3 linked regions of the Oryctolagus cuniculus genome follow. The protein of the gene in region 1 purifies or fractionates together with the protein of each later gene. This does not show direct contact. Links are inferred from orthologs where the notes say so. Each region holds a gene or a part of one and is shown on either strand. Other genes may lie near its edges.

What was found.
Region 2: the proteins of DDX23 (region 1) and TSSC4 purify together in Homo sapiens (affinity purification with mass spectrometry; 3 studies listed by BioGRID and IntAct, with this or other methods). This does not show direct contact. The link is inferred for Oryctolagus cuniculus from reciprocal best matches to the Homo sapiens genes DDX23 and TSSC4.
Region 3: the proteins of DDX23 (region 1) and SNRNP200 purify together in Homo sapiens (affinity purification with mass spectrometry; 3 studies listed by BioGRID and IntAct, counting the BioPlex papers as one, with this or other methods). This does not show direct contact. The link is inferred for Oryctolagus cuniculus from reciprocal best matches to the Homo sapiens genes DDX23 and SNRNP200.

The regions. Positions count from the first base shown.
Region 1 is NC_091442.1:52,328,374-52,333,671, forward strand, and holds the start of DDX23 (probable ATP-dependent RNA helicase DDX23), read right to left. Parts: upstream 3,096-5,298; 5' UTR 2,946-3,095; intron 1-2,945. UniProt on the Homo sapiens protein: Involved in pre-mRNA splicing and its phosphorylated form (by SRPK2) is required for spliceosomal B complex formation.
Region 2 is NC_091432.1:1,158,588-1,163,584, forward strand, and holds TSSC4 (U5 small nuclear ribonucleoprotein TSSC4), read right to left. Parts: upstream 2,972-4,997; 5' UTR 2,886-2,971; coding exon 2,840-2,885; exon of another isoform or gene 1,999-2,839; coding exon 1,919-1,998; exon of another isoform or gene 1,828-1,918; coding exon 997-1,827; 3' UTR 930-996; downstream 1-929. Other genes in the region: CD81 antigen, read right to left, coding at 4,119-4,181, 4,258-4,344. UniProt on the Homo sapiens protein: Protein associated with the U5 snRNP, during its maturation and its post-splicing recycling and which is required for spliceosomal tri-snRNP complex assembly in the nucleus.
Region 3 is NC_091433.1:111,274,732-111,279,749, reverse strand, and holds the start of SNRNP200 (U5 small nuclear ribonucleoprotein 200 kDa helicase), read right to left. Parts: upstream 3,230-5,018; 5' UTR 3,057-3,229; coding exon 3,012-3,056; intron 2,492-3,011; coding exon 2,328-2,491; intron 825-2,327; coding exon 653-824; intron 1-652. UniProt on the Homo sapiens protein: Catalyzes the ATP-dependent unwinding of U4/U6 RNA duplices, an essential step in the assembly of a catalytically active spliceosome. Plays a role in pre-mRNA splicing as a core component of precatalytic, catalytic and postcatalytic spliceosomal complexes.

The sequences.
Region 1 (5,298 bases):
AAAAAAAGGCAAGCTTTCTCTGGTATGCCTGCTGTCTTGCCACACTATGATGTGGCATGTAGGTACCACAGCACGCTCTTTAACTTGCCGGTTTCCAGAACTGCAATCAATTAACGTCTACTCTAGAACTGCCCAGTTGCAGGTATGCTGTTACAGTAACAGAAAGCAGACTAAGACAAGTCCTGAGAGAACAGTCCAGAAAAGAGGACATCTTTCCTACAAGGCAGCCTGAACATCATTCATTCTTTTAGTAAATATTCACTGAGCATGTATAAGGTGGCAGAAATTAGCAGTAACTAAACCAAGTCTCTGGGGGCCACAGTTGTGCTAGGAGTTAAGATGCCACTTGGGAGTCCCGGCTGCTCCACTTCTGATCCAGCTTCCTGCTCATGGGCCTGGGAAGAGAGCAGATGACCCCTGCCACCCAGGCAGGGGATCAGGGTGGAGTTCCTGGCTCCTAGCTTCAGCCTGGCCCAGACACAGCTGTTGTCACTACTTGGGGGGGAGTGAACCAGCAGATGAAAAATCTCTTTCTGCCTTAAGTCTTCCAAACAAAACAAAACACAAACAAAACCAAAGAAACCAGGGGAGGTGGGCATGTTGTGGCATAGCAGGTTAAGCCGCTGCTTGTAACACAGGCATCTCATATCAGGGTGCTGGTTCCAGTACCAGCTGCTCTGCTTCTCAGTCAGCTTCCTGATAAGGCTCCTCTTAGAAAGGGAGCAGAAGATGGCCCCAGTGCTCAGGACCATTTGGTAGATGGGTACCAACATCTGGAAGATCTGTCTCTGTAGCTCTCCCTCTCTGTCCCTCTACCTTTCAAGTAAATAAATCTTTAAAAAAATTTTTAAAAAAAGGCAATATAGTAGAGTGAATTTCAAATAGTTATGAACAAGGAGAATAAAATGGGGTGACATGAACAAGAGATGGATGGCTCAAGAAAGAATTTTTAGTTTATATTTAAACTGAGACTTCCATGATGGGAAAGACAGAACCAGATCTGTTCAGGGAGAATAATTCATTGGGTAGAAGAGACAGCAAGTACTAAAGTACTGAGGCAGGAGTTAGCTTAGATGTCTGCAACTAAAAATCAAACTGTAGGGCCAGCATTGTGGCACAGCGGACAAAGCAGCCTGTGATGTCGGCATTCCATGTGGGCACTGTTTCAAGTCCTGGCTGCTTCACTGCTAATGCACCTGGGAAAGCAGTAGAGGATGGCCCAAGTGCTTGGGCCCCTGCACCCACATGCGAGACCCAGAGGAAGCTCTGGGCTCCTGGCTTCAGCCTGACACAGGCTGGCCATTGTGGCCACTTCTGGAGTGAACCAGTGCGTGCAAGATTTCTCTCTCTGTCTCTCCTTCTCACTCTGTAACTCTGCCTTTCAAATAAATAAAAAATAAATTTCTTTAAAAAAGAAAATAGCTCCTAAATTTGTGGTCTGAACAGTCTGTTAGTTTGAGTTGCTGATAGAGAACCAACCAAAGACTGGGGAAGGAAGAGATTGAGGACGGAACCAAAAGTTCCTTTCGGCCAGGTTGCAGCTGAGACCTCTGTAATAAGACAGCCAAGAGGGGAGTCTCAGAAGGCATATGGAAATGCAAACCTGGAACTCAACAGAGGGTCTGGGGACAACCATGAGTCACAGGTACATAGCTTTTGAAGCCACAGAGCACTAAATGATATTACCCAGTTAGGAAGTAGAGTTAAAGAAAGAAAAAGAAGAGAACCCCATAGTAAGTTCTGGGACACTCTAAACACTTAAGGGTCAGGCACAGCAGCAGTAAGAAATATTGTAGAGACTGGCGCTGTGGCATAGTGGGTAAAGCCGCCGCCTGTAGTGCTGGCATCCCATATGGGTGCCGGTTCAAGTCCTGGGTACTCCACTTCTGATCCAGCTCTCTGCTGTGGCCTGAGAAAGCAGTACAAGATGGCCCAAGTCCTTGGGCCCCTGCATCTGCATGGGAGACCTGGAAGAATCTCCTGGCTTTGGATGGGAGCAGCTCCAGCTGTTGCAGCCAATTGGGGAGTGAACCAGAGGATGGAAGACCTCACTCTCTCTCTGCCTCTCTCTGTAACGCAAATAAATGAAATAAATCTTAAAAAAAAAAAAAAAAAAAAAAAAAAAAAGATTAGGGGGCAGAGAAGTGAGTACAGCATTTGGGGAAATAGAGATTATTTGTGACCTTGACAAGAGCTGTCTCAGTGGCACAGAGCAAACCAGAAACTCAAGTGGACTCCGGCCATGCCTCCCAGCAGCCTTCCTCTCCAATTTCCTGAACTTTTTAGTTCCTCCGTTCTTGTACGGCCGGGGCAGGTCTCCCCGCCCCCCCAACTCCCATTCTGTTAAGTATTTTCCAACCATCTACCGCATATAAGGCACAGCGCAGGACACTGTGCGAGTTACAACAGGAAGTCCCATCCCTAAGAAGCTTTACGACAATAGAGGGTCTGAGAACCCATCCTAGTACGGCAGGCTCGCATGAACTAGTAGGGGAGTTCGAAGAAGCACTTCTGCAAGGCTCCACTGAGAAAGTGGCCCTTGATCCCTTAGGGATGGGTAAGGAAAGAAACAACTCCCTAATTCCCGGCCTAATAATACCGACGGCACGGAGGCGGGAAAGTACGGGCTGCTTCTGGGAGAAAAATTCAAGTTCCAGTGTGACTGCGGCACCGGGCTACGAGAGGCAGGAAACAATCAGTCGTGCCGGCGGCCAAAGGTCTGAGCCCGGAACATCGTCCAGAACGTGGCCTGAGCCCCAGCAGCCAGCACTCCCCCTGGGGCCCGCGCCCCTGCGCTCCTGCCCGTCTGAGATTTCCCCCGGCTCGCGCCTCTTCCCCGAGGCGTTCTTCCGCGCCTCATCCCGGAGGCAGGGGCCACAGCCATGCCCCCGACACTTGCCTTCTCTACAACCTCGAGGGAACCATCTCCCCTGCCTAGAACTCACCACCCTGAGTCGGAACCGCCCAACGCGGCCTCAACGTCGCCGAACAGCCGCCATCTTTCCCGTTTCCTGGTCGCCGAGATGCACCCCCTTGCCGCGCGGCAAGCTGGGAAGGCGAGTTCGCGGCGCTGGGCAGCTTAAGCCGACAGTAAGGCCCTCAGAACTACCAATCCCAGGATGCACGGCGCCCGCGCCTGCCGAAGGCCGCAGGGACTGCTGGGCAATGTGGTTCGCCAAGCTTGGCGTGTGCGAGGGAAGTTAGCAGTGGGCCGGGTTCCTGCAGATCTTCCCGCGGTTCAGTCTTCCTGGAATCTGCAGGCCTTCCAAAAGCTACGGTAGCGACCGTCGTGGCCCGTGCCTTACACGGTATGAGTTTAAGGCTTTGCATTTCTATAGCATGGCTCTATGATGGGCTACTGCGAGCAACCACAAGTACCGTTTGTGGAAAAGCAAAAATCTCGTTAGATTGTTACCCATTTTATAAGATGAGAGTTGTACAATTCTTTATCGTGAGGAATTCCACCAGGCTTAGGACAGTGTAGCAACCTGCCCCACCAATCTCCCCTACTGTTAACACTTCATCCTCTGATCTGGGCTGTGGCACCTTCTTTCTCTTTCTTTCTTTTTTTTCTTTTCTCTCATTTTCTTTTCTTTTTTAGATTTATTTATTTTATTTGAAGAGCAGGGCTACAGAGAGAGGTCTTGAATCTGCTGGTTCACTCTCCAAATGGCCACAACAGCAGGAGCTGTGCCGATCCAAAGCCAGGAGCCAGGAGCTTCTGCTAGGTCTCCCATGCGGGCGCAGGGGCCCAAGGACTTAGCCCATTTTCTACTGCTTTCCCAGGCCATAGCAGAGAGCTGGATCGGAAGTGGAGCAGCCAGGACTCGAACCAGCGCCCATATGGGATGCCGGCACTGCTGGCGTTGGCTTTACCACTGCGCCACAGCATTGGCCCCATGCATCTTTTTTCTTCAGGTTCCAGTAGGGACCCCTGCAGTCTTTGGGCTACCTTTGTGTTGGTTTGTTTTTTTAAGGTTTTATTTATTTGAGAGGTAGAGTTACAGACAGAGAGAAGGAGAGATCGATTCTCCATCCACTGCTTCACTCCTAGGCCAATCTGAAGCCAGGAGCCAGGAGCTTCTTCCAGGTCTCCCAAGTGGAGACCATCCTCTGCTGCTTTCCCAGGTGCATCAGCAGGAGTTGGATTGGAAGTGGAGCAGCCAGGACTGGAATCAGTGCCCATGTGGGATGCCTGCACCGTAGGCAGAGGCTTAACCTACTACAGCACAGCACCGAACCCTATATGGGTCTCTTTCTTCTTCCTAGTGTCAGCCTCCCACTGAAGCTGTTTTATCACAAATCCTGTGCTCACTTTGCTCACTTTGTTTCTTGTTGGTCTTTTTGGATCATGATTCTTCCCCTAAAGCCGAACCAAGGCCTCTTTCCTTTGTTTTCCCATCATTAGCTTGTCTTGGTTCCCCATGGCTATATATCTGTTTTCTCTTTGAATGTTTTTCTTAGGTAGGAAGTTAGAAATTAGCCTGTGTGTGTGTGTATGTGTGTGTGTGTGTGTGTGTGAGAGAGAGAGAGAGAGAGAGAGAGAGAGAGAGACAGGCCTGAAGACCAGCACCTATTGTGGAAGCTCCAGAAGCCCAGCATTTTGCACTGCAAAGTCCTGCCCAGACCCTGATAACCTCCCAGTTGGTCCCAGAATTCTCTCTCAGGACCAGATGGGTTACCTGACCTGATAACATGGGACCCTAAAACACAGGCACCCTAAAGGAAACCCCTCTACTCTGCCTGGCACCAGCAAATCTGGGGAGGAATTTGCTAATTTCACCCAACAAACCCTTCCACCAAGCTCCCTGTCCTTTGTCCTGGAGGAGAGGGGGAGGTGGGTAAACAGACTCCCTTAACAACCTAGGGAGTCCAAACAGACCATGCATTCAGCCCTCTGCCCTCTGCTGAGCCGCCCGCCTGGCCTGCCCAGGTGTATTCTCTCCATTCAACCATGTAACCTCGCTCTCCCCCAGACGGAGTGACTGGGTGCTCTCTGTCCCTTCTGAGGGATGCCCTGTCCCCAGTAAAACCTTGTAGCTTCACTCTGTCTCACGTCTCAATTTTTTCTTGAATGAAGACAAGAACCCCATGGCTTCCACGGCTCTTTTCTCTGGTGACATTTTCAGTCTCCAAGAAGAGCCTAGGAGTAGACTGACATTATCCTAAAGCCCTGAGCATCAGGCATAGTGGCCTAAAGTAGCCGTAGGATAAGCATACTTCTGCTCTTAAAACTTCGCCACTTGAACCCTAGAACAGATCTGAAGGGAAAATCGAGTCTTGAGATCTATTGGGTGT
Region 2 (4,997 bases), on another chromosome or scaffold:
TGCCGGCGTTCCTCCCATGGCAGCGTGCACCTGTGTCCCACCTTGGACAGCATCGGGCAGGGTGCCCAGGGACCCCGCCCCCCGCCGTGCTGCCTGACTAAAGTCTGGTGGTGGCCAGTTCTGTCCTTTGAGACGCAGACGGTCGGTCCTGAGACAGCCAGTCAGCTGCCCAGTCCCGGGGGCAGGGCGGCCGCCCCTGTGCCGGCTCCGGCAGTGTCCCCACCCCTGAACCCAAAGTGGCTCTATTTCCGGTGCTCCCTGGAGCCCACATCCCCTCCAACCCAGGTCAAACCACAGTGTCCACACGGGGGCAGGCCTTGGCTCCTGGGCTACCCACACCACCCACTGAGCTGAGTCACAACCAGGCCGAGCCCTCAAGGGTCAAGGGAGTGGGGGACAGACATGCTCGCTCCGTGGGCCTCCCCCAGCAGACCTGGGGAACCCACCCTTTGTCCCCCATGGCCCATGCTGGGCTGGAGTCCTGGCACAAGACCCCAGATGCCGGCTCTGCACCCCGTCCTGACAGTCTGGGTGGGGCACAGCCAGAGGCGAGCGTGGGCACGGCTACAGGACCACTCAGGCCTGTCCGGCACCATGCTGGACTCCTGTGGCCTGACCCCAGCCCAGGGGGACCCCTCAGCCCCTCCAGGCCGGCACTGTGCGCAGCAGGTAAAGCCGCCTCCTGTATGTGTGGTTCCAGTCCCGGCTGCTCCACTCTGACCCAACTCCCTGCCGCTGCAGCTGGGAGAGCAGCAGACGGCCCCTGTGCCACTGCGGCTCTCTGGGGAGTGGACCAGTGCACGCAAGACCTCTCTATCTTTCAAAATTAAAAGCAAACAAAAACCCAGAGAAGCGGAACACTGGGGCCGTCACTCTGCAGGGTCCGAGCGGGGCTGGGGGCCCAGGGGGAGTGAGACGACAGACAGGACCCGAGGACACCCAACACCTTTATTGTCACCCATGGAGCCCCGGGCCCCCGGCCGCGGCCCGGCCCGCTCACCCCTCAGCCGCTGGGCCCTCGCAGCCGCTGCCCCTGTTCCGGAAGTGCTCCCGGCTCCGCTTCCTGGCGCCGTGGAAGCCGACGGCGTCCAGGCCGGGGGGCCCTGGCGAGGCCCCTCTGTGGGCAGCCGCGGGGGACGCGTCTTCCTCCTGCAGGCCGCCGGGGGTGCCGCCCCTCTCCTCGGCCTCTGGGCTCCCGGGCCCGGCCAGGTGGGGCAGCTCCACCGCCTCGGTCCCCGGGAGGCCCCTGCCCGGCTGCGCGCCCTGCCCCAGGCCCCTCTTCCTCTCGGGCCTGGGCTCGCGGGCTCGGGCCGGTCTGGTGAAGACCACCCTGCCCTCCCCGCAGCTGGAGGAGTCCTGGTTGAAGGCGGGCGCGCAGGCGGCGGGGGCGGCCGGGCCCCGCGCGCCCAGGAAGGCCAGCGCCGCCGCCCGGTTGCTCTGCTCGCTGGCCTCGGCCACGTCCTCGAGGCTGTACCTGGTCCAGCGCTCCGGGTGCGCCACGTAGTCGGGGACACGCGGGCCCCTGGGGGCGCCGGCCGCCCCCTCCAGGCCGTCAAAGACGCTGTGGCTGCGCCGGGAGAAGGCGGAGCTCGTGCCCCGGAGGCAGAACGGCTGGGCCGCAGGGGCGGGGGGCGCCGGGGGCGGCGAGGGGGGCTCGGAGTCCTCTGAGTCCGCGGGCAGGTCTACACACGGCGCGGCCGCCTCGGCACCGCCAGAGCTGAGGTCCGAGTCCGAGTCCGAGCCCGAGTCGCTGGGGAAGTCGGCGTCGTCGGGGGGCGCGGCGTCCCCCTCGGCCCCCGCCTGGGCCATGGCCCCGTCCCACGGCACCTGCGGGGAAGCAGCCCGCGGGGAGGGGGCAGCTCAGGGTCGCCGGCCCACGCGGCCGCAGCAGCGGGCCCCTCCCCGGCCCGGCTCTCACCTCCCCCGTCCGCCCACGGAGGTCCTCGGTGGCCCCGGCGTGGGCTCCTCGGTGGCCTCGGCTCCGCTGCTCAGACGGGGCTGGGTGAGGGGCGGGGGACAGAGCCCGCGTCAGAGCGCGGGGCCGGCCGCAAGCTGCCTGGGACGAGGCGGAGCCCAGGGCTGGGCCCCAGGGCCCGGGCCGCGGCCACCCCGGCGGGGTCGGGCTCGCGAGCGCGCTCAAGGGTCAGCTCGAGCGGCCTTGCTGGGCAGAGGCCGCCCCCGCGGCCCCGGACACGACCCCCACCCGCGCTCCCGAGGGGCTGGCTGCAGGACAGCCCGGGCGCACCCTCCACACGGCGCTCCCCGCCTCGGGCCGACCCAGGCGCGGCGCAGCACCTCCTCCCGCGGAGCAGCCGCAGGAGGAGCGCTGGGCCCAGCAGGGACCGCGGCGAGCGCGCCCTGGGCTGGGGAGGCCGGGATCCCGCGACCGGGCCGAGGGGCAGCGGCTCTAGCTGCCTCCGGCCGCCTCTGCCGCGGAGCAGAGCACACCTTCGCCGTGTCAGGGCGGCCGCGCAGAGGGCCCTCCCGGACTTACCGGCTCCTCGTGCCGGCCGCCTTCATTCGGGTTCCCCGCCGGCCGCGCTCAGCCTTTTGGGAAACCGAGTCCCCCGCTAGCCGCGCACTGTGGCCTCCGCGACCGAAGAACTACATCTCCCATAAGCCACCGGGCCTCAGCTCCCGAGCCCTGACGGGACGTGTGCCCCAGTGCGCATGCGCCCACGCCCTTCTCCTTACACCTCCAAGCCCTGCGCCAGGAGCGGGTTCCGGAAACGGAAAAGGCCTAGCGTTGACACGGAGGAAGGGGCGGAGCCAACCGCCACTCCCAGAATGCTCGACTAACGGCGAGGCGCAGGCCTCTCGGAGTTTTAGTGCCACCTACCGGGAGGTGCGGAGACAGCAGCCGACGTAGACAGGAAGTGCGTCATCGCGCACGGTGGAGCAGAAGCCCTTGCCCGCACTTCCGGCCTTCCGAAAGCGGAAGTCGCTGCCCCTTCCCGGGTCCATCCGTCAATGCCCGGGGCGGGCCTGGCAGCCACTGAGCTTGTGGGCTGCGCTGGACGTCGGGAGCCTCTGACGATGTTTCTCCGGTTCCCCGGCCCTCAGGGACAGGCGCGCGGAGCGCTGCCCAGCGGCCCAGGCAGCCGGGGCTGGGCGTGGCCATCCTGGGCAGGTCCGGCCCCGGGCTCTCCCAGACAGGCCTCTCGCTGGCCACCAGGCCCCAAGTGGGCAGCGCCTTTTGCCCCCGTTTCTGCTGGGGCTGCTCGGTGCCCGCCAGACCCCAGCTCCTGAGTCCCTCTCCTGCGGGGGCCTGCTGTCCTGGCACTCACGGGGAGACCGGCGTCTAAGGACCCCGGGGGGGCCAGCCGCGGACAGCAGGCGGGTCATGCACGGCCCAGGCACCTCTGGGACACCCACCCTGTCCTGGCAGCCCCGGGGCCCCAGGCCCTGCACGTCCAGAGGCCAGCCTGGGCCAGCACGGCCCGGGGGGAGTGGAGGGGACTCCTCGCTGCACCTAGTTCTCCCAGGCAACCCTGTCCCCCAGGGGCTGGGAGCAGCAGGAGCCCCCGCCCTCCGCAGGGCCAGCCTCAGTCCTCCCTGGCTGCTGTCCAGGCCGAGGCGGGGCCTTTGCTCTGGCTGCTCCGAGATGCTGCTGAGGCCCGGGGGGCCACCCACGTCTCAGCAGACCTGGGGCCTGCTGCCCGCAGGGAGCCCGGAGCCCGGCCGCCCCCTCCCGCAGCCCGGTGTGCCCCAGGGGCGGTCACCCGCGGAACGCTCCCTGGGTCCTGGTCCCGTCCGCTCCGCGCGGGCTCGGCACAGTCCAGACCCCTCTGTCCCCAGCGCCCCACCCACTGAGACCCCACCGGCCAGGACCGGCGGCCAGCGCGTTAGCATGCCCGATGTCTCCTCCTTTATTACAGACTGTGTCCAGCTGCGGGCGTTACAGTTGAAGGTGACGTTAGAAAGGACAGGTGCTCCCGGAACAGGCAGGAAAGCAACAGGATTAAGAAGGCCCGGCCCCCCTCGGCAGGTGCCCCTGGCACGCGGCGTCAGCCACAGGGGCTCCGGGGGAGACGCAGAGCCCGGAGAGCCGGCAGCTGCGTGCGGAGCGAGCGGGGTGGCTCTGTACAGGCGGCGGGGGCGGCGGGGGCAGCGCGGCCTCAGTACACGGAGCTGTTCCTGATGCCGCAGCACAGCACCATGCTCAGAATCATCTCGAAGATCTGGCGGGAGGGGGGCGGTCAGCGGGGGCCGGCGGGGCGGGGCGGCCCCCCCCCCCCCGCCCGCCTGCCCGCTCACCATGATCACGGCCACCACGATGGCCGCGATGCCGATGAGGTACAGCTTCCCCGAGAACAGCTCGTCAATCTTCTGGTGGCAGTCCTCCTGCGGGGAGGGCAACCTCAGCTCCCACCTGCCCTGGCGGCACCCCGGAGGGCCCAGCTAGGCGGCCTCTGCCCACGCGGGGGAGGCGACCTCAGCTCCCACCCGAGGGCCCAGCTAGGCGGCCTCTGCCCACGCAGGGGAGGGCCCAGCTAGGTGGCCTCTGCCCACGCGGGGGAGGGCGACCTCAGCTCCCACCTGCCCTGGTGGCGCCCCCGAGGGCCCAGCTAGGGGGCCTCTGCCCACGCGGGGGAGGGCGACCTCAGCTCCCACCTGCCCTGGCGGCGCCCCCGAGGGCCCAGCTAGGCGGCCTCTGCCCACGCGGGGGAGGGTCCAGCTAGGGGGCCTCTGCCCACGTGGGGGAGGGGTGACCTCAGCTCCCACCTGAGGGCCTAGCTAGGGGGCCTCTGCCCACGCGGGGGAGAGCGACCTCAGCTCCGACCCGAGGGCTCAGCTAGGGGGCCTCTGCCCACGTGGGGGAGGGCGACCTCAGCTCCCACCCCAGGGCCCAGTTAGGCGGCCTCTGCCCACGCGGGGGAGGTGACCTCAGCTCCCACCCCAGGGCCCAGTTAGGCGGCCTCTGCCCACGCAGGGGAGGGCGACCTCAGCTCCCACCCCAGGGCCCAGCTAGGCGGCCGCTGCGCACGCGGGGGAGG
Region 3 (5,018 bases), on another chromosome or scaffold:
ACTTGGATTCACAGCCTAGCTCTGCCAAATACTACTTCTGTGACTTAGCAAAATTACATAACTACTATGTGCCTTGCATCTCCCTTTATGAAATGGAAAACGAATATTCATAGCACCTAGGGGTGGGCACTGTGGCAAAGCAGGTTAAGCCAACACTTGGGATATGCACCTGTGCATATCTGAGTGTCAGTTAAGGTCCTGGCACCTCTGCTGCTGCTCCAGCTTCCTGCTAATGCACCCCACAGCAGATGACGGCTCAAGTGTTTGGGCCCTTCCACCCACATGGGAGACCCCGATGGAGTTTCAGGCTCCTGGCTTTGGCCTGGCCCAGCTCTGGATGTTGCAGGCATATGGGGAGTGAACCTGTGGATGGAAGACCAATCAACTGATAGCTCTCTGTCACTCTCCCTTTCAAGTAGACCAAAAGAACCAATTTTTTTTTAATAGCATCAATCCATAGAGTTGATGTAAAAGGAGGAAAAAACCATGTAAAGTATCATTTCACTTCAACCAAACACTTCGTAAATACTAGTCACTTCCGCAAGTTGGTATGAGCCACACAGGGAAATCCAGAGACAAGGTTCTTCTGGTGTCCCCCAGCCGTCACCCCCTCCCTTCCCAAGCACAGGCACTCACTCTCTGGCGGCCTCACCTGGTCCCCAAGCGCAGCCTGGATGAAGCTGAGCAGCACCTCATACGTCTCCCGGGTCTCCTTGGTTTTGGGCTTGTAGATGATGCCCACCATCTCATCAATGCCCTCCGACAGCAGGGTATAACCCTTCATCTTGTTGATGTCATGCCGGTCCTCGTCACGCTTTCTTCGCCTAAGGGACACACAGTGTGACATTCCACAGGAGAACCTTGCCTCCCCAAGACAAGAAGAGAATCAAGCCCTCCCTCCTCAGTATCACCGTACACCTGCACCGCAACAAATGAGCCCCATTTCACCTTAATCATTTGCACAAGTATTTCTTTGTAGGACACAGTAACAGAAAGGAAGTGTTCACCCTCTCACTAAGTTCACTAAATGTTACAAGACAGGGTTATCATTAATTTAAAAACACGAGTAGGCATGCAGTACAGCACTCAGTAAGATGCCACTTGGACATCCACAGCCCATATTGGAACATCTGGCTTCAATTCTAACTCCACTTCCAGCTTCAGCTTCCTACTAATACACACATATCCTGGGAGGCAGCAGGAGACGGTTCAGGTGTGTAGGTCCTTGCCACCACACAGGAAACCTAGGTTGCCTTCCAGTCTCCTGGCCTCAACCTGGACCAGCTGCAGCTAACATGGGCATTTATGAAGTAAACGAGCAGATGTGAGTTCTTTAATCGGCCTGTCTCTATCTCTCAGATGAAATAAATTCAAAATACAAAGGGGCCAGTGCTGTGGCCTAGCAGTTATGCTGCCATCTGTAATGCCAGCATCTCCCATCAGAGCAGTGATTCAAGTCTCTGTTACTCGGCTTCCAATTCAGGTCCCTGATAATGTGCTGGTAAAGCAAGGGAAAGTGGCCCCAAGTACTTGTGTTCCTGCCACCCACATGAAGACCCAAATGGAATTCCAGGCTCCAGGTTTCAGCCTGGCCCAACCCCAGCCATTGCAACCACTCAGGGAATGAACCAGCACATGGAAAATCCCTTTCTCTCTATTTGTTACTCTGTTTTTCAAAAATAAATGTCTTAAAAAATTAAAAACCTACTGAGATGAGAAATACCAAAGGTCTTAAAGATACCCTCAAGAAAATTAAGATGTTTATGGACCAGAAACACAAAAAGGTACCAGTATTTTCCACTTGGGTGTACTTTATTTATTTTTTTAAGGTTTTATTTATTTACTGAGAGGTATAGTTACAGACATAGAGAGGGAGAGACAGACAGAAAGGTCTTCCAATTCGCTGGGCCACTCCCCAAATGGCCCCAGTGGCTGGAGCTATGCCTATCTGAAGCCAGGAGCCAGGAGCTTCTTCCGGGTCTCCTACTCGGGTACAGGGACTTGGACCATCTTCTACTGCTTTCCCAGGCCAAAGCAGAGGGCTGGACTGGAAGATGAGCAGCTGGGACTAGAACCAGCGCCCATAATGGGATGCTGGCAGAGCAGGTGGAGAATTAACCCACTACGCCACAGCGCCAGCCCTCAAAGTGTATTTGCTAAGGCCGTAGAATCTTCAAACTCTCATGTTCAGCTTTTACCTTCACCAATCTGTTTTAATGCCACTGCTGTCCAATCTTGCAACACGCACTTCAACAAAAACACTACTAATTGCTAAGGAAAAGACAGACTTCGGTTCTGAAGAAAAACAGGACTCCATCGGTACTTACTTGGCTCTTCTTTCCTCCTGCATCTGTGGTTTGGTCCGTTGTGCCTTATCTCCCATTCGGGTGCCCTCCAGCTTCCCAACCAGGGACAGCACCTCTCCGGTGGGTTCATCTCGGCGGGTTCGGTCAATGAGAGACCGGTCAGCTTGGAGCACAAGATTCGAGTTCTGAAAAGATCAGACCACTGCTGAAGCTCTGACATACGCGAGGCCAGTTCCTGCAGCACCCTGATCCCAGCTCAAGAGTCACAATGAGCGTTAATAACCACTAGCCGGAATATAAAGGTATATAATTTGAAAAGAAATAGCAACACATAACGCTAAGCACGAGCACAGGGCTGATAAGCCCTACGTGCCGTCTATCAGTTGAACAATGCTGGCTTCTAACCATAACAACCCTCATGCGGGAAGTACTGAGCGAGTGGAGAGGGACAGGTGAAGGGGCGGGTTGAACGCTGAAAGGCTTGGCAGCCCGGTCCCACAGAGCTCTCCGCCTTGTCCTGCCCGCCCCAGGCCCCGGTGCGATAATCCGTATCGTCGCATACCCAAACTTTCGCCCCGATCCGATTTCGCCTCCGATTTCGTGGCTTTCCTGCAGGCCTTGAGACTGAACCTCCCACTCGCAGCTTGCCGCCTCCCCTATACACTACACTGCCTCCCCCGAGTCCTCCCCTAAGCCCATACGCACCGCCTTGTACTCGTACTGCAGGCTTCGGGCGGTCACGTCCGCCATGGCGGCAGCCGCTCCTGGCTCTCAGAGATCCACTCCTCCTCACCGCACGCTGAAAACCGCGCTGCTCTCGGTTGAGGACTTCAACAACGCAGGAGAGACGCAACGGAGGGGAAGGAGACGGACTAATTTCCGCTTCCGGGTCGCGCGCCGGAAGTGCGGGGCGGGCCGGGTTTCTGGCAGGCGCGCGCCGCTTCCCGCTGCCTTCTGGGTGGAGCGGTTGGGACTTGTGCTTCCGGGTCTTGGCCCTTCAGAGCTAGGGGCGCCACAGTGCTTAGGGGTCGGGCCTCGGGTCCCGGCCAAGGCACCTTCCACCGTATCGGGATGCACGCCTCCTTTGCGCCTATCCTATGCGCAGCCTCTTTTATATTTATTTATTTGAAAGAGTTAGAAAAACAGAGCAGTCTGCCATCCGCTGGATAACCCCAGGTGGTCGCAATGGCCAGGGCTGGGTCAGGCTGAAGCCAGGAGCCAGGGGCTTCTTCCAGGTCTCCCACGTGGGTGGCAGGGACCCAAACATTAGGCCATCTGACAGTGCTTTTCCCAGGCCACTAGCAGGGAGCTGACTCGGAAGAGGAGCAGCCGGACAGGAACCAGCGCCGGTGTGGCAGGTGCGGCTTTACCCCCACCCCAGGCCTTTTTCTCCAGCTGCTTCCGCTGACTCTGGCAACAGCCCTGGGAAGGCCCCCGGCAAGGAGAGGCCAGTTAGCCTTCCATTTCTGGAAGAGGAAACTGAAGCGCTAGAAAGCAACAGAATCGTGTGTTTCTCTTCCGTATGGAACAACAGAGAAAGCTCCGTCCCCCACCCATCCCACTAACCCCCATGCCCTCGAGGCCCTGGTTCTTGCCCAGCGGAATGAGCAGGGCCAGATCTTTTTGTTCAGGCGTCACATTCCGTGGCAGGGCCGTCTCCACCTCACCGAGGAACTTGGGTGAATGTGGCAGCCCTCCTGGCGGGAGGAACTCCTTGAGGACAGTAACAGTTGCTTCCCAAAGCCCAGGACTGGTAGGCACCGCCCCCTCACCCACCCCTACCATGTCTCACAGGTGGAATGGCAGCTTACAGATGAATGCTTGCATGTTTGCTTCTGAAAAAATGACTGAATAGTAGGATGGGTATTGGCCGGCGCCGCGGCTCACTAGGCTAATCCTCCGCCTGCGGCGCCGGCACACCGGGTTCTAGTCCCGGTCGGGGCGCCGGATTCTGTTCCAGTTGCTCCTCTTCCAGGCCAGCTCTCTGCTGTGGCCCAGGAAGGCAGTGGAGGATGGCCCAAGTGCTTGGGCCCTGCACCCACATGGGAGACCAGGAGAAGCACCTGGCTCCTGGCTTCGGATCGGCGCAGCTCCGGCCGTTGCGGCCATTTAGGGAGTGAACCAATGGAAGGAAGACCTTTCTCTCTGTCTCTGCCTCTCACTGTCTGTAACTCTACCTCTCAAATAAATAAAATCTTAAAAAAAAAAAAAAAGATTTACTTATTTAGAGGCCAGTACTGTGGTGCAGCAAGTTAAGCTGCCTCTGTAGTGCCACCATCCCATGTGGGTACCAGGTGGAGTCCGCCTGCTCCACTTCCAATCCAGCTCCCTGCTGATGTGCCCAAGAAAGCAGCAGAGGTTGGCCCAAGTGCTTGGGCCCCTGCACCCACATGCAAGACCTGGATGAAGTTCTGGGCTCTCTTTTATTTTATTTGTTTATTTGGAAGTCAGAGTTACACATAGAGAGAGGAAGAATCAGAGAGAGAGATCTTCCATCTACTGGTTCACTTCCCAAATGGCCACAATGGCCTGGGTTGGGCCCAGGAGTCAGGAGCTGCTTCTAGATCTCCCACATGGTTGTAGGAGTCCAAGCACTTGGGCCATTTCCACTACTTTCCCAGGCACATTAGCAGGGAGCTGGATCAGAAGTGGAGCAGCCGGGTCTTAAACCAACCCCCGTATGGGATGCCAGCTTCACAGCTTCACCTGCTA